Oreochromis niloticus: one gene and its partner. The protein of the gene in region 1 interacts with the protein of each later gene in a pairwise test. Links are inferred from orthologs where the notes say so. Each region holds a gene or a part of one and is shown on either strand. Other genes may lie near its edges.

Evidence for each region.
Region 2: the proteins of myog (region 1) and txndc9 interact in binary tests that used the Homo sapiens proteins (3 or more experiments, as listed by UniProt). The two-hybrid records come from large-scale screens. The link is inferred for Oreochromis niloticus from reciprocal best matches to the Homo sapiens genes MYOG and TXNDC9.

What each region holds. Positions count from the first base shown.
Region 1 is NC_031970.2:25,638,759-25,649,150, reverse strand, and holds myog (myogenin), read left to right. Parts: upstream 1-6,101; 5' UTR 6,102-6,219; coding exon 6,220-6,753; intron 6,754-7,322; coding exon 7,323-7,422; intron 7,423-7,510; coding exon 7,511-7,629; 3' UTR 7,630-8,342; downstream 8,343-10,392. UniProt on the Homo sapiens protein: Acts as a transcriptional activator that promotes transcription of muscle-specific target genes and plays a role in muscle differentiation, cell cycle exit and muscle atrophy.
Region 2 is NC_031987.2:21,409,819-21,421,488, forward strand, and holds txndc9 (thioredoxin domain-containing protein 9), read right to left. Parts: upstream 5,139-11,670; 5' UTR 5,005-5,138; intron 4,224-5,004; 5' UTR 4,212-4,223; coding exon 4,038-4,211; intron 3,742-4,037; coding exon 3,623-3,741; intron 3,328-3,622; coding exon 3,073-3,327; intron 2,985-3,072; coding exon 2,870-2,984; 3' UTR 2,361-2,869; downstream 1-2,360. Other genes in the region: mrpl30 (large ribosomal subunit protein uL30m), read left to right, coding at 1-82, 375-521, 855-928, 1,075-1,207; DNA repair protein REV1, read right to left, coding at 8,138-8,249, 8,363-8,465, 8,588-8,738, 8,842-9,047, 9,189-9,288, 9,604-9,870, 9,959-10,149, 10,228-10,457 and 5 more. UniProt on the Homo sapiens protein: Significantly diminishes the chaperonin TCP1 complex ATPase activity, thus negatively impacts protein folding, including that of actin or tubulin.

The DNA of each region.
Region 1 (10,392 bases):
CATACGAGCTGGTAGGTAGGTGTTGATGTTTTGTGAAATGCTTCCCTTTACTCGGTAGCTAATTCAAGAACGGTCTAGGCCTGCTGCTTTGTATGTGGCATCTGGTGCGTCACCGAGCGTAGAGACGAAGAATGGCATAACACCCCTGGTGACATGGCACCCGGAGCTTGGCAGCTCTAGAATGACAAGACCCAGGGAGTGGTGAGCGATCTGCATGTTTCCATGGCGACAGCGCTCCCATCTCAACATCCCAGAATAACTTAACACATTCTTTCTTTATCCTCGGTGGCGTATGCAATAGTTCCTGAAGGGAAAATAGTTATTGCTTCCATTCTTATGCCTATTTTTATTGTTTTATTGCGCTCACTGCCATTAATCGGTTTATTTGTTGATGTCATAAATGCAAAACTCATTTTAAGATATAGATTTTTGTGATACCTTCCTCTGGTGTCCTTTGTCTCATACCCCGAGGACAGTACATGTCTGGATATCTATAACTGTATCTGTCGGGCCAGGGCCTTTCTTTCCTTTCTAATTTCCATGCAGCTATACAAACACACACACAAATACACACATTCCCTCTGTTGTGTCCGACTATTTGGTCGCTCCAGAAACTGGGCCGCTAAATTTGTCCCTCTGCTGACATGGGAGAAGGTCACTGGAGCCAGAGAAAAACAAAGACAGGAATACGGAAGAAGGCCTGAAGATAGTGTAGATTAAAAATAAGGATATAGATGGGGAGCGAGGGGCATGATTGAAATGTAGCAGAGTAAGATAACAGAGCTGGGCTGAAAAACTGGAAATAGTTTAAAACATAGCCATCCTCAACAGTATATACTATATACATACCTGCCTTCAGACAGGATTCAGAATTTCCCAGAGGAGCTATGCTAATGGTGCTTTATACTTGGAAAGTGTCAGGGTGTAAATGTCACTTTGTTTTCCTGCCTGTGATACCTGCTTTGATTATCATAAGTCCTCTGAATATATGTCATTGAAATAGTCTGGTTGTTTGTAGCAATGGGGCACAAGTTATTTACAGGGAATAACTTTTGGGCTGCCATGTGCTGCAAAGTATGTTAGTGGGAAGTGGGTTATGCACATAGGCATGAGTATGTATGTGTATTTGTCTGTGTGTGCTGGAGCCTTTCAGTGAGTGGGATGCCAGCGAAGGGAAGGGCAGCGGATGGTGCAGGGGCTCAGTCCATTCCTGTGATTTAACATGACACCACTTGCACTAAGACTGCGACAGCTGCGTATGCACATGCCGGCCATTCTGTTTGTTGTAGGGGATTACTCTGCGATAAAAGCCCCAGTGACCAGCAGCATGGCTGGGCTACAGAACTACTGTTCCCCCTCCCCTGACTTAGAAGGCTTTCTCCAGGCCTCCAGAGCCCTGTGCAAACACAGGTGGGGCACTTCATTCTGAGTATAAATGAATGGGAGTATTCTCCTGATGATTAGCCAGGCCATAGTAGTGTCACATCACCTTTGGGGGGGTCGTCAAACTGTATCGCTTATGTAAGGGTCATTACTCAACAGAAATAGTGGGACACAGCAGGGCAGTAATCAGATCTGACCGTGAATATTTTAATTTGCTCTCATTGTGTTTTATGCACTGATGATTGTCGAGGAGGAGTGGGCTGCTCTGTCACATCTCCATATAATGATCCTATACAACATTAATGTTCTATAGTAAGTATAACCTCATCGTAATCTGGAAGCTCTGATATCAAAGAGTTTAGGAATGGATGTGCAGTTTTCATGGCGACAGTCTCTGAGACGACAGACTTGGACATGTGTTGCTGTCACTATGGTGACAATGCTCTCTCCCAAAGGCATGAAACTAGTACATAATAATGCTGCATGAGTCTGGATTTCAGACAGAATATTCCTTTCCAGGAGTAGAGAAACACTCAGCGCAAGGCCAGGAATGAGACTTTATTTTTTGCATGTGGAAAACAATAATTAATAATTTCCTGTGTCTTTTTCCTTGAAAGTGTCAAACTTTCCGACTCGTTCTGAATGATCTAAATAAACATTTAGACATCTGAGCAGGTCACCAGATTTTTTGCACAAATCCTAAAAGTGTAAAACACAGAACTCAGTTATTCAAGCAGAACATAACTGTTATTTATAGAGTAAGAAAAATACACCAGCAAGTCTATGAACATATTGAGGATTAGAAGTTAATTTCAAGAAGAAAAAAAAGTCGTCTTTCTTCAGTCCTTTTTCTTTAAAGAAAAAAAAAATCCATTGTCATGTTGGAGGGACTGTATCTTCCCATGCACAAATGAGATTTCTAAGGTCCCTTAGAAAAAGGCTTATTGAAGCCCACCAGGCTGGAAAAGGTTACAGAACTATTGCTGCACTTTCTAGTCCAACAATAGAAAGTCAGACAGATGGCGTAAATGGAGAAAAATTGAAGATCATTGTTACACTGCCCAGGAGTGCTTGATCAAAAAAAAAAAAAAAAAGATCTCTGCAGCAGCAAGATGGATCATAGCCTGGCAGGTAACAAAGAAGCCAAAAAAGGTTGTTTCTAAAGTGTTCACAAAATTTCAAGCAAAAGTCAAAATTGAATGATTCTACTTCCTTCCAATTCTCAGTCTAAATAATAGGTTAGCGCTCATGCTGGACACTAAATTGCCAATTATTATGGGAACATCCAAATGAAGTAGAAACAAAAGCATGTATTTTATTTGTTTAAACAACTTGTGTATCCTGTTGTGCGTCTTATATCGTAATGTATCTCACTGGATGGAAGACCTGGCTTAGCCACCTCTAATAAACAGTTCCTCGCTGTTGTTATGTTATTCTCCTCTTACATATCTGAGATTTCCCGACTGCACTCAGATGACAGCTCTCCAGGTCACTGGAAATCTTGAGGCTAACCTGGGGTGAGGAGGACTGATCCCTCCCTCCTCCCCCAGAGCTCAGCTGTCCCACAATGTGCTGTTGCTTGTCACTGAGGAGAAGTGGAACAGTGTTGCCAGTGACAGGGCAACACCCCCCCTGCTGCACACAAGGGGACCCTTAAACACTCTGGACAAGAAATACATTATTATATTATATTATTAATATTTATTTAGTAATTTAATCAATAGCTCTGATACTTAGAATAAATCCAAATGTCACAATAGGTATTAATTTTTTATATTTTTTTGCATTATTTCTTACATGTGGCCAATCAATTATAATTAAATTAGAGCCAGCCTATTTTTCACTGGTTTGGCCTATTTTAAGATGGAAAATAAAGTACAGTATTAACAAACCACAGGTAAACAAACTGTTCTGTATCTTAAGTGTTCACTTCAAATACTGAGGGACACACACACACACACACACTTCTCTAGTTCTGCTGACAATGGGTTAAGATGACAGAGGGTTATGAGTGATTCTGACACACTGCAAACCCCCTCCTTGCTGTACCCCTGAGTCCAACACAGGCTTCTTTGTACTCACTCCACCATCAGTGACGATCCATCACAGACTAACCTGACAGCCGACCCAGCCCCGTGCCAAGCTAAGACTGTGCACTCTGCCTCAAACCCAAGCCCAAACCCCAGGAGGAGACCACAAGCCACCAGACGGGCCTGCCAAACCTCTGCCTGGCACCTAATCCCAGGACTGAAACTTCCCTGTAGATAATTCACATTGTAAGATTTTTTTGTTTTGATTGTGTCTAACTGAAACTTTGTGTTTGTTACCTTCCAAATGATATAAAACACAGGTAAAGAATAAACGGTCAGAAATAAGAGGCTCTGTTCCATTGTGTATCATTAACCCTTTGAACCAGCACAACCCTGGAACGCTTAAATGGAAATCAGCTATCATTGGTTGCACCTGTGCTTTCTCTTACACGAAATGTCAAAATATCTGCCACGAACCATGCCTATAAATATGTTCTTTTAAACAAGCTGCTGTTATTTTTAGGCAACGCTGATCCACAATAAAAATAAATAAATAGAGGCTTTAAGGGGCAGTCATAATGAGGAAATGAGTTATAATGAGTTCTTTCATCCGAAATAAGGTTTGTCTGTGTGAGCTTGTCGCTGCTTGTGGAAAAAAGTCAGAAACTCAACAATAAAAAATTAATCTGAGCAATAAAAATATGTATTTTTTTGATGTAGATTTTCATCTGGGTGAAAAGGCCTTGTTGACACCTTGTTGATGTTAGAGGAGAATAGACAGACTGGTTTGAGCTGATAGGAACACAACAGAAACTTACTTGTTGCAACCAAGCTATGCAGGAGAGCATCTCATCAAACCTTATAATATGCAAGGGCTCACAAAATTGGACAATAGAAAACTGGAAAATTGTTGCCTAGTCTCAGTTTCAACAACAAGATCTGGATGGTAGAGGTCTAGAGAGAGAACTAAATTACAATATAGTGTTAGCTTGCAAGCTAACATGTAAGAAGGTTTTACACTGGTGTAGTTTAAATATTAAAAGCAGCTTTAAAAAAGGATAGGCTCCTTGGTATGTCGAACTTTCAAAATTTTCACATAAGACAGGAATTAATAATGTGTTCTTTAATTTTATAACACAGGGACTCCAGCAACACTTAAAAGTAAAGAGGAACAACTTTATTAAATGACCAACGCGTTTCGGCTTGTGGCCTTCATCAGGGTCATACTCTTAAGTGTTGCTCGAGTCCCTGCGTTGTGAGTTTCTCATCCTCTCCACGCACCTTGGAAGTAGGTGAAGTGACAGAATTTTTGCTGTTCTTTAATTTTATAAGCAGGAAAAGTATAAAACCTAGCTTTTCACATCTTATCGTGACACCATAAAGACCTTAGTTCTTCTTCATTTTCTCTATTTTAAATATTGAACTCATGGTATCCACTGATATAGTATTGTTTACTTTTGTTTCAAAAAACTTGTATTTACTCTTTCATTGGTTGGAGAATAACTTAAAGCCTCAATGGCATTGGTATTCACCAGACCTTTCAACCCTCTAAGTTTAATGAACTGTGGTTACTAGGAAACTGCTAGCAATTTGTCTCTTCCAAAACATCTCCTGAGAGGTATTATATTACTGTGATAAACGTATTGTAAAGAAATAGAGCACAGACTCATGTAACACTCCTCATGATATGCCTGTCACTCCAGGCCACTTCTCTGCTGACAGAAGTGTGTGTTTTGGCTGTGCTGCAATGTTAGCGGAAGCTAGTCAGAATTAGCTGATGAGCTACGAGGTGAGACATGTCCTGGAAGGATTAACACCCAGTGGCTAAGCTAATGCTATGACTTGCTGGAAGAGGTCAGGACAACCAAGGCCATTCCCTCTGTGTGGCTGACTCATTACTGTCCCTTAAATTCTGGGAGTAATGTGAGCCAGCGTCAGCCTAGCAGCTCACTCTGCTCATGGTTCCTGCACAGACCTGCCTGGTTCTGAGGCTAGTATAGCTCAGAAGGTCACTTGCATCACATAGTGCAATCGTCTCAGGATGAAAGTCAGTGGATATGAATGCAGTTACATAAACCACAGGAACAATGTCACCTAAGCTTTTTTTGGTATTGACCAAGTTGATCGCATTATGAGTCTGACAGTGCTTCACAGAGGTCCAGAGTAAACAACAGTCTCTTGCCTCATTGACTTCCCATCAAAAACCTGAAGTCAAACAACGTATTGTCACTGTGTGCCACTGGCTCCCAGCAGAAGTGACAGCTGTTTCCAGAATGTCCCTTCTGCCTCCCCACTTAATGATGGAACTCTTCATGTTCGGAAGGGGACGCAAGTCTGGGATTAACTTACTAAGATGGACACCTTTGATCTGAGGCTGTCTCTCCCATTTCAACCTGATCATGTCCTGGCCTCTTAAGAAATACATGAGCGCACAAACCCACAGAAAAACACGCACGCGTACAATTGGGCCTTAAAGCCCTAGAGAGCAGGGCCAAACAGAGATGTGATGTGTAGATGTGCAGCAACAGCTAAACGTCGTGTCAGGTTTCTGGGGGCTCGTGCTAAATTTAACCCTGTGATCCAGCAGAAGGCAGAGGGGTTTAAATGCCAGCCTACAGTTGCTCCACACCAGTTGCTCTCCACACGTCTTCCACTCATCACAAACTCAGGCCGGGAAGAAGATAGCCGCACACACGTACACTCCAACGCAAACTCCAGACACAGGACAGAAGAGCGCATACTGAAGACTAGTTCCTAGGGAAGCTGGGATCTTTGTTCCCTTGTATCCAGACCACAACTGTCCAGTATGGAGCTTTTTGAGACCAACCCTTATTTCTTCCCTGACCAGCGCTTCTATGAAGGAGGGGACAGCTACTTCCCCTCTCGCCTGCCCGGGGCGTATGACCAAGCTGGCTACCAGGACAGGAACTCCATGATGGGCTTGTGTGGGAACCTGTCTGGGGGTGTTGGAGTTGGAGTGACAGGTACCGAGGACAAAGCCTCTCCATCCAGCATGTCGCCTCACTCCGAGCCCCACTGCCCAGGTCAGTGTCTTCCCTGGGCCTGTAAGCTGTGTAAAAGGAAGACAGTGACCATGGACCGCCGGCGAGCAGCCACACTGAGGGAGAAGAGACGCCTAAAGAAGGTGAACGAGGCCTTCGATGCTTTGAAGAGGAGCACGCTGATGAACCCCAACCAGAGGCTGCCCAAGGTTGAGATCTTGCGGAGCGCCATCCAGTATATTGAAAGGCTCCAAGCCCTGGTGTCCTCCCTCAACCAGCAGGACACTGAGACAGGACAGCAGGGTTTGCTCTACCGGCCCAGCCCAACTCAGCCCAGAGTAAGTAGGACAGAGACAGGATGAGGGAAGGGAGAAATTCAAAAAAACAGAGAAAACAGCCAAGAGGGAAACAGAGTTGGGAACAGCACTAGTTGGAAAGTGGCAGAAGATATGGGAGAAAAATGAGCGGTACAGTAAAGAGAAAGATAAATACTACATTAAACAATGACTGGGGTAAAATGTCAAATCAAAAATGTGTAAATTTGATTATCTGGTCATGTTCCTTTTGATTTATTCATTCTGGATAAGGTTTGATGTTATGCATATGTATTCAGCCATATAATGAGCAAAAATGTTGTGTTTTAAAAGGTTTTTAAAAACATGATGCAGTGTAGCTCATTAGTGTTTTTAAAGACACTGACAAGAACTCCTGTGACAGGCGTCGTAGTAATGGAAAGTCTTTTTCATTGTGTACATTTGCCTCTGAGTGGGGTCACGGGATGCATTAACTATATGTGCATTTGTGGTAGTACACTGCACTTTAGTGTGTGTTGTATTTCTGTGTGGCGTGCTGTATCATAACAGAGTGACTGACAGCAACTTGTGTGTGTGCATCTCCATGGCAACAGGTGTCGTCGTCAAGCGAGCCCAGTTCAGGCAGCACCTGCTGCAGCAGCCCGGAGTGGAGCAGCACTCCAGAGCAGTGCACGCAGAGCTACAGCAGCGAGGGTAAGCACAGGTCACTTAGTCCCATTAAACTAGGTAGACCAGGCAGCACCTTTACAGATACTTAGTGTCTAACTGGGTCTTTTTGCAGATCTCCTGAGCGCTGCAGACTCTCCAGAGCAGGGGAACATGCGGGCCTTGACCTCCATTGTGGACAGCATCTCTGCAGCAGATGGACCTGTGGCCTTTCCTGTGGACATTCCCAAATAGACCCTCAGACCAGCCGGCCAGTAGGTGCACAGCGAGCCTCAAACAAAAAGCAAAGTGACCTTTAATCCTAAATTATGTCTATTTTGTGCTTCTGCTGATTAAATTATTTTGTCTTATGCCAAATTACAAAATGTTTCCATTTGACGAGTATTGCAGCTCTGTTGATCCACGGGCCAGCTAGCCAAACTGACTTTTCCTGTTCACATTGAGGCTTTGTTCCCTTTATTTCCTGTATTATGCAATGTTCCAGACCTGTTTGTCAAAGCTACAGGAGATTCAAAGACTTTGCTGCATGAACCCAACACATATTTACTACACGTGATCCCTGTTAGGCTTGCCTCCAGATTTATAGAGCCACAGAGGAATGACAAATCCAGTTTTCTTTCCTTACTTAATTTAAGATTTCCTCTTCAAATGCTTTCCCTAATCTTTCATTCATTTTTTTTGTGTGTGTGAGTTTTAATGCTTAAAAAACAAGAGTTTATTTGTGGGGCCAATATGTACCATGGCAGTTTTGACCAAGATCTGCTTAATTTAAACTGATTATGAATGCTAGTGATGTAAATACGTTCCCTTTTTCTACAGAGTGGATTTGCCATTTTTATTTTTTTGCTAACTTATTTTGGACTTTTATAACTAAGATTGTTGTGTATTTGTAGATGTTCTGAAAAGTGATATTTTCTGTTTAATTCTTACAATAAAGACCATTTTCAATACGCTGTCCAGTGTTGTTTTTAGCCTATAATACAATACGCTGGCACATATAACTTAACAAGGAACACAGGATACCAAATCTTTAAAAAACAGCTTTACTTATGTCTATATAGTGTCATAAATACATTACACTTCTTTTTAAATAGCCAAATAATAAAATCTTGATTTGTCAGCATTGTTTCACACCTGGAATAAAGACACAGTACTCATAGCTGCCACATAGCACGTTACACCTTTTAGACACCTTGGAAAAACTTTCAAAAAAAAAAGAAAAAGAAAAAGATTGTACACCCATCCAGCACTTCACTGGTTCATTTGCTGTGTTCTTATTGGATGAGGAGTTGGTGAGCCAAGAGTACTGACTGCTCAATCAGAGCAAGATTAGACAAGTCTGTCACGTGGAGCAGTTTCATGTGGATTTCATTGGCTGATGTTGAGCAGCAGTTTACAGTTTGATTTTGAGAGAATGTAAGGAATCAACAGAGAAGAGCTACAGTGGTCACACTACCATCCACAGAGAAAGTCATGGTCGCATGGCTGGGGCCGGCCTTTTCACACGAAATCTACTAGTCTCAAGCACAGAGACTCATTTAGTCACACACTCTCACACTCTCTCTCTCACACACACACACTTCATATTAAAGGATTCTCTCTATTCTAGGCTACATAGTGTCATACAGAAGGCGAGAGAGGCAGAGAAAGGAGAGGCAACAGCTACATTGTGTTAAAAGAGAAGGAAGAGAAGGAAAAAAGAAGGAATGGGAGAAGAGGCAAAGAGAGAAGTCTGATATTGGACCCATGAACCTGTGAAGAGTCCTTGTGGAAACACACACCTCCCTTAGTGAGTCCCTCCCACCAACGATTCACACACGTACAGCATACAGCAAAAGACACACGAAGGTCCGACACAGAGAGAAAGAGAAAGAAAGAGAAAGAGAGAGAGAACAGTCACTATTGAATACAGGGCATTGGGTTTCATACAGCAATATTATATTGTTTTCCATATATATTCCCAATATATATATATTTATATATATATATTTATATATAATATTTCTATAAAAAACATAAGTCATCCATTTTATGTACAGAGATAAATGAGTAATACCTTGCATAACCGGTAGAGGGGTAACGTGTGGTGGGATCTGCCATTTATACAAGTATTCATCATTCTCAAATCCAAACCAACACCTGCTCACCATCTCCTTTAATCGTTTTGACGCTGTTTTCTTGCAAAGGACATGATGACGCAGGAAGATTGGTTTGGGCTTGGCCATGTTGAGACTATTACAACCAGGAAAAAAATCCACAGCTGAGATCAGGGGAGCAGGAGCACAACAACCACAACAACAAGGCTACTGGGAGCACGGGGGGTAAACTGGGAGAGACCAGGATGAGCCTCCATTACAGCAGCGAGCGCAGCCAATGTGCACTCTCAAGAGTTCAAAGGTCAGAGTTGGCCTCTGTATTGCACGTGTCCGAAGAAGAGGTGAGAGGTGAAAGTTGGAAGGTGAGGCTGGGCAACAAAGGGACGAAGCCTTCCCTGTGAGGTACCCAGGTCTCCCTCTCCAGATTTGGCATATCACTCTCAAAAGGCCGCAAGCATATGTCCATATAGGTAATGAGAATGCACTAGAAGAGAGAAAAGAAGATGAGGAAAGTGGAATAGGAAAAAAAAGAAAAATTAAGTTGCACATGCTTCTTGATTCATAAAATACTGGCGGTTGCCAGAGCTACCCCTCAGTCTCCTAGTAGATCCAACTATGGTATCAATTTCAAAATCCCAGATAACAGCTTACTTGATTTATTGTATTCAAAGATTTTCCGAAAACTTGACTTCTGACCGTGACCTTGAGTTCAAGGTCACCAGGATTCAAACTCATCCAAGATTTTTGGTAACTGCAACTATGGTATGAATTAGAAAATCCTACTTTCTCGAGCCGTCGTATTTCTCTACTTGGGTGTTAACGCCACCCACCAGCTCAGGTAGGTGATGACAAGACGCTGTCAGTCTTTAGCTCTCTTCCACAGTGTTTCTTTTGTCCTGTC
Region 2 (11,670 bases), on another chromosome or scaffold:
GACTGAAGCTCCAGTTTTGTCACCATGTGCGTGGTATGTGTCAGCACGAAGCAAATTCTCCAAATCTAGAATCCCACAAGAGGTAAGAATAAATGTAGAATCTATAATGTTGTACATTTGTAAAGTAATTAGCAACACTTAAAGTATGTAACGTCTTGTGACCCTACCCATGTGTGTGTCAAAATCTAATTCTTTTACGTTAATATGTATTTGGATTAAGTAATTTTGGGTATAATTCCAGCAGGTCCGGTAGACAAAATGGTTTAGGGGGATTATTAGCTACTCAGCATTTTTAGTGTTGCCTTAGGGCCGTCATTACAGATGAATCCTGCCATGGAATAATGATAATCCTTTATTCTGCATTTTCTTAACAGATTTTTGCTGAGCGATCGAAAGAGCATGAGAAATATGGTGGTGATCCAGACCAGCCGCACAAGCTGCACATAGTGACGCGGGTCAAAAGTGCGCTGCGAAGGCCATACTGGGAGAAAGAGATGATAAAACACCTCGGGCTTCAAAAGGTAAAATTTCTGTCATTGTACAGGACCCCAAACTGGGTTCCCTTTTTGTAAAGGCTACAGATCGTTTTTGTTTTACTTTTGGATTAACTTAATGTAACCGGATCATGTTCAGTATTTTTTGCACATACAACAAAACACTGCTGTCAGCTTTAGTTCAGGAATTTCTAGCCATTTAATTCTTTGCATCTTTCAGTATCTTTCAACAGTGACTTGTACCCTGAAGGAGCTCTGATCAGGATAAATGAGCTGTACAGAAGTGTGTCACCTCATGCAGAGACGCTCACAGCCTTTATCTTTTGGAATAATTTTGTTCTGTCTTTGTCTCGGATTTAGGCTCACGTCCCCGTAATTCATAAAAATACTCCTGCAGTCAACAGTCAACTGAAGTTTGTCAAGCACCTTGTAAGGTAGGATTAATTAACTAAAAGTAGTAACACACCACTCTTAAAGTACTATTAAAAAAAGGTTAGTTTTTTTCAAATTGAGGTTGCCTGAGATACCTATATATCTATACTGTTATATCTCCTTTGCCATCTCTTTCTGATACCTTCAGGATACAGCCGCTAAAAACTCCCTATGGGCTCCCTGCTGAGCATGACATGGCTGATGCATACATCAACAGCAAAGGAGAACTTATTGTACACCGCCTCCTCCAACCTGTAGACAACAAGGCGATCGAATCTTAGCTCCACTGTTGCGTGTGTGAATGTCCTGGAAAACGTCCTGTTGTCATTCTCTCTGCAATGAGAGAAAGCCGTGGCACCAACCAGACTTCTGGATTGCTGTTTCCTGTGTTTTGATGCTGAGCTGAAGATGAATATGATTAAATGTTCTCATCAACCTGTCTCACAAATGATTGAGCAAAGTGCCACCCTGATGAAGCAGGAATACCGACATTAACGTCGCATCTGAAAAATTCAACTCTGTGCAAACCCACTGTTCTAAGTTTGAGTTAATTCAGGAATTACTCATTAAACTTTTCCAGAAAACTTGGTTTATTATTATTATTTTTTCTACAAATCAACAGTTTAGTCATTTGAATACCAGCATATTAATTATACAGACAGCTAGTAATTTGGTAAAAAGTAAAATTTGCCTTCTGAGATAATTTAACAAGTTTTCTGGGGCAGATTGTTAAAATTAAAAATGACTTCCTAAATCCCAAAGACAAGGTTTTTGCTCACCACCTCAGTTGTATCAGACTGCCAAACAGCTATTTATAGAAATCGAGGGCCCCCTTTGTGTTGCGGTTGCACAATCAAGTGTTCGGTTTTGTAGTAATACTCAACGTGCTCAGCATAGCACCAGCCAGTCTTATCAGCTACAAATAATCTGCACCCTTAAAATGTTTTTACATGGTTATAGTTTTTGGTTTAAAGGCAAAAACAGCAATTTTGTTTTTTAAGAACAAAGGCTCACAAAAAAACATTGCCAGTAATTATACTGGTCACTTCATTAGGTGCATATGTTGTACTGCTTGCTAATCCAAATATTTAATCAGCCAATCACATGGCAGCAACTCAATGCATGTAGACATGGTCATTACAGCCTGCTGCAGTATCAGAATGCCTCAAGGTGATTGAGTGTGGCATGGTTGTTTGTGCCAAACAGTGTAGTCTGAGTATTTCAGAAACTGCTTATATTCTGGGATTTTCCAACACAACCTTCTCCAAGGTTGAACCATGTTGAATCTATGCTATGAAAAAATTTAGACTGTTCTGAAGACAAAAGTATCCAGTGAGTTTAAGGATGTATTATTTTCATCCATAACGGCAACATACAACTCTTGCAAATACGCTGCCTCTAACCCTGAAGAAGTAACAAAAAATACACAAGCAGTTTTTTTTCCATCCTTTTCTTGTTTTTATTAAGTCTGCATTAGTTAGGTCAAACTCATGCTACCATGAAATGTCATGTAAAAATTTATTTTGCTCTTCAAAGATGATCTTGGCACTCACACGCACCATGAACTTGGTTCCAACACGAGACGTACAAAGGTTACAGGAAAGTGCGTGAGACAGCTGTCTACAATAAATGATTACACCTGAAAATCAAGAAAAACAAAACACAGCTAACAGCTAGTGGTCGCTCAGTGTGCTCCCTCGTTCATGAACCATACATTTTATTACTCAGATATTCCAATATAAATCATGGTGGATAAGTCCTTAAATAAGGCTGAAACAAACGTGCTTTTTAAATAAAATGAATCAGTGGATCGGGTTAGTAATTTCTATTTTTTTAATTAAGTCACTGATAGAAGAGAGGGAAAAAAAGGAAGTGGGCTGTCTGCTGGAGTTTTAGTAATGAGGTAGCCCTGAGAGAGTAAACCCGACAACTGTCCAGCCTCTTCAGTCATCTTCAGAATCCGAGTCGTAACCTCGCCCTCTGATGGTTTTCTTCTCCACTTTTGTGAACTTTGTTCCTGATCTCTGTGTCGCTGTTGGGGGCTCCCTCAGGTTGCCACTAGAAACAGGAAAAAGGGATCGTGTTAGATAAAACGTTTTCATACACGACACATAAGGTGCTCGAGTGAGTCTACTGCACGTCTCACCTGTAGTTAATAACGTCCGCGCAGCCAAGTCTCCATTCGAGCATCTCTGTGGTGAACTCGTCTGTGTTTCCCAGGTCAGTGAATCCGACCACATAGTCCTTTGTTTTTCCGTCAATAAGCAAAGCCAGAGTCGGAATAACTTTGATGCGCAGCCTCTCTGTCAGAAATGGGGCCTTCTCTGCATTCAGTTTGATGAATTTGGTCTCAACATGCTTCTTTGCCAAGATGGCCAAGTGTTTGTCGAGGATCTTACATCTAAGGACAGAGAGACAAGTTCAGACGTCTGACATCAACAGATTAATACTGTGGCGACTGAGTAAAAAAACTGACGCTAAACAAGGCACAATGTTGATTGTTAAAGATAACTGAAACACACTTCACACGTAGGAAATGTCATTTTGTCTTAAAAGATGATTTTAATAAATACATTCATTAATTTGCAGAACATATTCATTTTCTATAAACTACCTCTGATTCTTTTGTTTTTTGGACTACATTACATTTCTAATTCATGGTCCTGTTGCATCATTTAGTGACTTTCTAGACTTACCTGAAGGTTGAATTTCTGTAGAAATGGCACACGGCATTCTTGCTGTCTTTCACTTCACTGAAAAAGTCTTTCTCACTGGATATTTCTCTGTACTCCCCATGACCTTTAGACAACCACTCCTGAAAAGCAAAACAAAAGGTTACAAATACAAGAAAAGCTATTATAGTTGAGTACAATGAAAACACTCTTTAAACCGTTTGAATAATAGACCAAATGCTGTGTAGCCTAACTTCAGAGCAAGACAGTCTATACACATGACACCAGGTGTTTTATTATGATCCTTCAAAGAACTGACTGACATCACTACAAATTGTAGTGCTGATAAGTGAATCTGCTCAGTGATTCAAATCATTTTATCTGCTTTACGAAATTAACACAGCAAAATGCTACTGTGATTATAAAACGTCCCACAAACCTGCTTCTGTTTTTGGGCCTTTTTTAGTGCCTCTAATCGTCTTTCCTTCAGCCTCTCCAAATCATCTTCATCCATTTCATTCAGCTTGGCCAACTGGGCATCCACCTGCTCCTCCACCAGCTTGGCTGACTGCTCCAAAACTTTTGTTATGATTTCCATTGATTGGTTAGCCATGGCTGCCTGACTCTGTTTGAAAATGGGCAGATAAGCAATGGTGAGACATGACACCAGACAGCACGGCAATAACAACAACACAGTGCCTAATATCGATATGTGCAGATACAAGCTTTCTGCAAATGCCAGTGGCTGATGTGTATCAGTCATGTGACATCCACACTGCACTGGCTACAAGTTCAAAGGTAGTGTGATGGAGCGCATGACGACTTGGAAATAGTTCACTTATTCATATGACTTATTTATAAGCTTTGTTTTGCGCAAAGATGCAAAATAAAGAGAAAGGAATCTCGTCATAGCCTTTGTTCCAAAATTTTACAATGGGGAAAACCCTGTTTTAGCCCTACACTGTGAGCTGGTGTGATCAAGTACGTACAACAAAGTAAGGTTAGCAACGTTGCTTACACAGAAATTGGTCCGAGAGCTCCTCTTTTAGCTAGCTAACGCCGCAGACAAAGCCACAGTAACGGCTGGGGGGCACACCTTGTTTCTGCCCGGTGGTGCCTACAGTTAGCTGGTACAGACACAGGGTGGGTACCTCTCACGTATCTGCAGCTAACTAATACAAAATAAGAAAAGTACACGCCAGCAGTTCAACAAAAATCTCTATATAAACCCTCAGTCTGCGTTTGCTTGCTATCTTAACTAGCTAGCATTAGCCCCGCCATTGTTAACAAACGTCACAGGAACAGTTTTGGAAACAGTTTTGTTGATCTTTTATTTTTTAAATGAACGTCAACTGTGCGTTTTGTCGAAAATATAAAGTATAACCAAGCTGCTATTAAAACATTACCTAGTAAGGTGACAGATGCTCGTCAACACCTCAGCCCGTGCACGAAACGTTTCTCTGCGGATACAACGTCACAGCGGGCCCGTCTGACGTCGTGGGAAGTACATCCGGGCAACTCGGTTATTTTTTACGGGTTATTTTTTATTTATTAATTTATTTTGTGTGTGTGTGTGTGTGTTATATTTTTTCACGCTGTACTGCTGCTTTTGTTTATTGGGACCCAAAAGCTCAGTTGTCATCTGATGTATTAAAGAAAAAATATATTGTTATATTGTTTGCAGTAAATCCCGTGCGTTCATCTATGAAGAATATTTGTAGTTTATATGCAAAACATGAATGAAGTCGAAATTTCGAGGTAAGCCTTGAAATAGCATTTTAAGAGGGAAAAAAATCGAAATGCTATTTTGAGAATAAAGTCGAAATGTGAAGATTAAAGCTGTTGCCATGGCTTATACCCTCTACAAAAACTAGTACTAGGATTTCGCGTTTAATCTCGAAATTTGGACTTTATTATTAAAATGAAAAACAAATATATATATAAAATTTCATTTTAATAATTAATGTGTTCACGTGTGGATCATCTCTGAGATCTTCCTCTTTTCCTTCTGCCTGGCAGCTCCAAATGCAACCTCCTTTGTCCTATATATTCATCAATTCTTCATGTAATCCCCCATCTTCAAGCCATCTGTCGCTCCTACTGCACACCTGACCATGGTCTCACTGTCCTGCACCACCTTCACATACTTCTTTACCACTTACCCTTTTGTACAGTACCACAGTTCCTCTTGCCAGCCGATCATTTGCCTTCTCTAGACCCCCAAAGACAGAAAAAGAAAGAGCAAGCACTAAAGATCTGCTTTTTCTTGGCATGAAACCACACTGCTGCTCGTCGATCCTCACTTCTCTCCTGAACCTAGCTTCAAGAACTCCTTCCCATATCTTCATAGTGTGGCTTGTCAACTTTATCCCATTTAAACAATACAAAAATAAGTTATTAAATTCAATGTTTTTTGGCATCAAAATAATACACATCTCTAACAGACATGTCTAGCACATTTATATGCTCATCACTGTCAGACCTGGGAATAACATAACAGACACACTGAAAGATAATTTTCATAAACATATTCTATCAGCTGAAAGTTCTTTTTAAAGCCAGTTTATAGAAAGGAAAAGACAAATAAATGAATACAGAATTTACAGTTTATTACCAAGGTTTAGAAAACTTACAAACAAGTTTCACAGCTTCAGGTCTTCAGGCACGAGCCAGATTAGACAAGACAGGCCAATTTATTATTATTATTTTATTTTAACTTCTGGCCATTCCCCTGGGGAAACACGTGAGAGGTGAAGAGAAGCAACGTCTTTAAAGTGAATCACACATTCTAAATTACATTCATTTCAACAAGTTTCAAAAGATGACCGATTGATTTGGTTTGCATATCAAAATTATCTTTTAAAACACGCATTTTAACCACGAGCAAATTATCCTCCATGGTGCGATCACAAGTCAAGCAGCTGCATCTGCTGTTAAAGTCAAACCTCACACAAATAGTGTGACACAGCTGCAAGCCGTACAAAGTGTCTCGAGGGTGTGAATCGCACAGTGTGGCTGACGGAGTTAAAAATCAGATCGCCTCTTCCTATGCACATTCAGCATTGTTTCGATGTTCAGATAAACACTAAATGCTTTATTTAATGTTACGTGGTCTTGAAGGGACATCTCATTGTTAGGTGAGAAAAAACAGAAATGCATAGGCTACTCATTGATTGCCATGACCCCTGTCGACATCCTCCAATATCAGAGTGCTACTGAGAATCAACAGTTAACCTCACCTCAAGTGCTTTGGCCAGCTTCTGATTTCCATGTTGGAACACTTAGAAACATTTAAAGAGTTACAATTTAGAGACAGTTACTAAGAATCCACTACCGGTAAACAATACAAGAGGTAATTTCTCTACATACATGTTTTTTTCTTTTAAAACTTTAGACAAAGATCTTTAAAACATTATTTACACAGTATAATAACAGCGTTTGGCACTTCTTTTTTTTGGAAAGAAACGAGAAACAAGAAAAAAAAGCGACACTGCTGCATGCAGCAGTAGATGCTTCGCAGATAAGTGCTAGTGGCAAAGAGCACCGATAAAACAATGATGGGGGAAAAAAAAAACATTGTCCAATCGTTTCTGAAAACATGTCTTATGTATAAAGAATGCTACAAAGTAAGCGGTTTGTAAAACTGCTGAAATGTACTTTTTGTTTTAACATGATCACGTATCCAAGCAAGGAAAATTTAACATACCGGATTCTAACGCTCAAGAGGGGGAAAAAACCAAAAGGAAAACAAAAAATACATTTCGAAATCAGGCCTGGATGGAACGGATGTTATTGTTTTGTCTCAGAGTCCAGCTACGACTCAGAGATATAACAGCAGCCTTCGTTGGTAGGATCGAGCCAGAAAGCCGTTGAATGCTACGAGGAGTATACTTGTTTTTAACTTTTTGGACATTTATGTGCACAGTGAATGTGGGGTTCAGTGTTAAGATTCTGACGCATGCATAAACAAACAAACAAACAAAAAACAAAAACTGACCTGTGGCATGTGTCATCACCTGCCTGCTCACATCATTTTTTCCTTCTTCTTCTTTTTTGGCCACGTTAACACAACTGGCCCACTCTCCAGATCTGACTCTCTGCGACTCTCTTACCCAAAATGAAACTGAACTGTCTCTGGAAACAGATCTCTGAAGCTGATCTACAGCGCTAATGCTCAGGTCACCACAGGAGTATGCGATCTAATACCAGCTGAAAGTTTTGCAGTGCTACAAAAAACAGATACCCTTAATGCGTTTTTTTTGCCCTTAATAAAATCTTGCATATGAAAATGAGTCGTAGGAAAATAAGAGTGAATGAAAGTGAGTTTCCAAAAAGCTGCTACTATCATCATTGTTCTGTGATAAAAACAACCAGTTTGTCCAAAATACTGTCATGGCTCTTTCTCATAAAGGTGTAGCCATTATTTGTATCTTTCATAAGTCGGAATTTAGACATCATGATTTGTATTGTGAAATTAACAAATCAAAAAAGTGTTGTTTACAATGATCGCACGTAGCGAGGAGAGCACCCCGTCATTCTTCATGCTATCTTCAGGGTGCTGCCGTAAGTCTGCTGCAAAACCACCTGCACGTTGTCTAAGATGAAGTCAAAAGCCATACTCCAAACAGACTCCACTGACTGCTGCATGAGCCTGCAGGAAAAAAACCCAAAAACAAAGCTCAAGCATAACAAGCGAGTGAAACCTTGAAAACAAAGAAAAAGGAAGGTAGTTAAATTGAGGAATCTTAACTGCACAGAACTAACCTTTTCATGTATTTTATAGTCAAATCCAACTTCTCCAAATCTTTGTCCTCAATTAAGTCAGTGCAATATTTCACCACCTGCAAGATGTCCTCCTCCATGGGTTCTAAAAAATAAATAAATAAAAAATACATAGATAAAGATGCACTTTTGGAAACCCATAAAAATCATCAACAACAACAACAACAACAGCACCAGAGGAAACGCCATCATAACACATCGGTGTACCTGTTATGGTGGTAACCCATTCCCGTAGCAGTGTTTTAATGTCTGTTAAGTCACAGGCTCCTGCCAGTGCTGGAGGAGGACGAGCAGCCAATTTAACCACGGCTGGTGGGACCTCTGGTTTTGAAACTGATGTTGAGGGACCATTTTCAGTCTGGGAATGAAAAGAAGTTGCAATTTTTAAAGATTAGTCGACTAAATCATATGCTTTCACATGTTGGCAGCATCTTTATGCATAGAGCAGAGGACAAACTTGCCTTTCGAATGTTTACTGGTTCCCGTGATTTTCCAGTAGGTGGCAGGCTTTTGGCTGGGCTGTTTGTTGTTGGACGCTTCTTGAGTGGAGAAGCTCCTTTTTTAAGAGGACTGACTGCGTTCTTTCTCTTGTAGCGGCGCTTTACCCGACCGTTGCCGATTCCTGCCCCAGACTGTTTTAGCTGCAGCAGTGGATTCTTCTGCTCCACTGCAGAGAAACCAGTAGGCCAAACAAACAAACAAACAAGAAATCAAATCAAATAATAAAATCAGGGTTAAAAGAATAAAAAGTAAAATCAAACAACCAAAAAGAAAAGCACTCCTTCAGAAAATTCGTCTGCTGACTTACACATTTTCACCTGAGGTTGGACACCGGTTGCACGGCTGTAGGCAGCTTTCAGTTCCTCCTGTAGTTCTTTGGGAAGGGCAGCAAACACATCTGGATCGACCTGCAGTCAGACAGATGGGAAGCTCACTTACTACCAACTATGAAACCAGCTTTTGTTTTCTTTAACTTGTGGGACCATCTGCTTCAGTCACAACTCATGTGTTCATGGCACATTTCCAGTAGAGAACAGCACTTTGTGCTGTTTAAAGGTTCCAATAAGCAAAATTACTACAAGCCACCAAGGCACTACATGTTTCTGTGGAACAGAGTACAACAGAAACTAGAGTTTCCAATTTTTCCTGATTTTCTCTCTACTTTAGACTGTAAAATTAAACCACCGGCAAACCATCACAAAAAAATCTAATAGCATACACACCTGTGAGAAGTTAGGCAGTTCCAGTACAATTCCTGGACTTTCTGGCTGGTTTGGAATCTGCAGGACCAACGTTCCTACAGGTGGATAATTCAGTGCAGGTACGGTTGCAAGGGGAGGACGAGGGGGAGAGGCTGGATGAGAACTGAGAGGGGAAAGCTGCGGACCAGGTGAATGGCAGTTATTTGGCCTCCCATCTCTCCTGGTCCACGACTGCTCCACTTGTTCTCTCAGCTCTGCAGGCAGGGCCTCCAACACAGAACGATCCACCTTGGAAAAAATTAGGAAACAGTTTGTTAGAGGTGTGTTAATATTTAGGTTTTGTTTTGCCAGTCAGACATTTCACTCCAGTCCTGACCTGTGAAGGGGAGGGGACTTCGATACTGAAGTTGAGACGTGTCCGAGAATGCTTTGGAGTTTGTCTGCACGCTGGTTGTTCCTTGCTTGTTCCGGGTACAGGCTCAGCAGGTGACAAAGGATATGGCAAGGAGTTTGCTGTTGGGACTGTTGTAGAGGAAGCGATCTTCTCCTGAAGTACGTCTGCAGCATCTGTAATAATATTACAAGACATAAGTGATTTTTACAGACAGCAATGAAGACGAGCAGAATCAAAAACACCAAACGCGCCTCGGTTATTAGATCTGGCACTCGATCCCTGGCCTAACAGCATCTCTTTGATGGAGCGTCCTCGCAGGCCTCGGCAGTCCTGTGTTGCAGACTGATGTCCCTCAAGAAGCTGAACCTGAATGCCAACTCCTCTCAAGTCCTGCACCTCTACCTTCATGGCGTGGAACAGCTTGATGACTGCAGCAGCGATTAGCTGACCACTGTCAGTGGACTGAGCGAGCATCACGGTCCTGATGGAAAGGGAGACAGATAAAGATAAGCTTACAAAGAAACTGTGGTAAGGATAAACAAGAGAGGAGAAAATACGAAGATTTAGTTGTAACACACAAGGACAGAATAACGATCTCTTTCTTACTTGGCTAAATGATCACATATGCCATGGCCACCATATTTAGCAGGTTCAAGTGGCGCTCCAATTTTGCGAACCATGACTTTAAGGGTGACTCTTCGACCCCGCAGACCTGCTTCTTGTAAACGTTTTTGCACCTCCATGGACAAATTAGTCAGGAAACACTCCGTCTCATCAACCTGGTGAGTGATACAAAAGAGGATTAGAAGGGGGAAAAAAAGCTGGCATGTTGAAGTAGAACACATGACACAGAAGGGAGGACAAACAGCAGGTCTAACCCGAGTAAAGCGGATGTTGTAGTTCATCTCAGCAGAGACAGATTTCCTTTCCTTTTCATAGCGGACTGGCCGGTCGTCTAGACCCCTACAGAAGCGGAACAGAGTCTGTCCAGTACGGGGCCCAAACTTCTTTTGCAGCTGAGACAGAGAAACTTGTTGGAGGTCACCACAGGACCGCACACCCATGAGGGCCAGCTTTCTCCCCATAACAGGCCCAACACCTTGAAAAAGTAGGATCATCATCATTTGACTGAGTATTTTACCACACAGAATTGATATCCATGGATTGACCAGAAGGTGGTGCTGCACACCTACCAGGTAAGCTTGTCACCGGGAGGTCCCTGATAAAATCATCCACTTCTTCAGACTTTAGGAAATACTGGCCATCAGGTTTGGCCTTACGAGTCGCCAGCCGAGCCAAAAGGATGTTGGACCCTGAAGAGACCAGATTAGTCAGACTTTGTAAAATGCAGCGGCAGCCTTGATCTATTTTACAGTACGAACTAGGCAAACAAATTACCCATGCCCACTGAAGCACAGCATCCCGTTTTCTCCTTGATGTCTGCTCTGATCGCTTTGGCTAGATCTTCAGGGCTGGCGCCCACTTCAGCTAGCAGTGCAGAGCCATCTATCAACACTTCATCGCAGCTGAGGGCCTCGATGTCATGGGTATAACTGAAAAGAGTAAAATCATAAATAAGTTATGCATATTAAGAATTAAGGGAGAACATAGTTAGTGTGAGTAAAAGATAGTGCTGTTTTCTCTACCTGGCCAGAGTCTCATACATATTGAGGGCCACCTCTTTATAGGCCTCA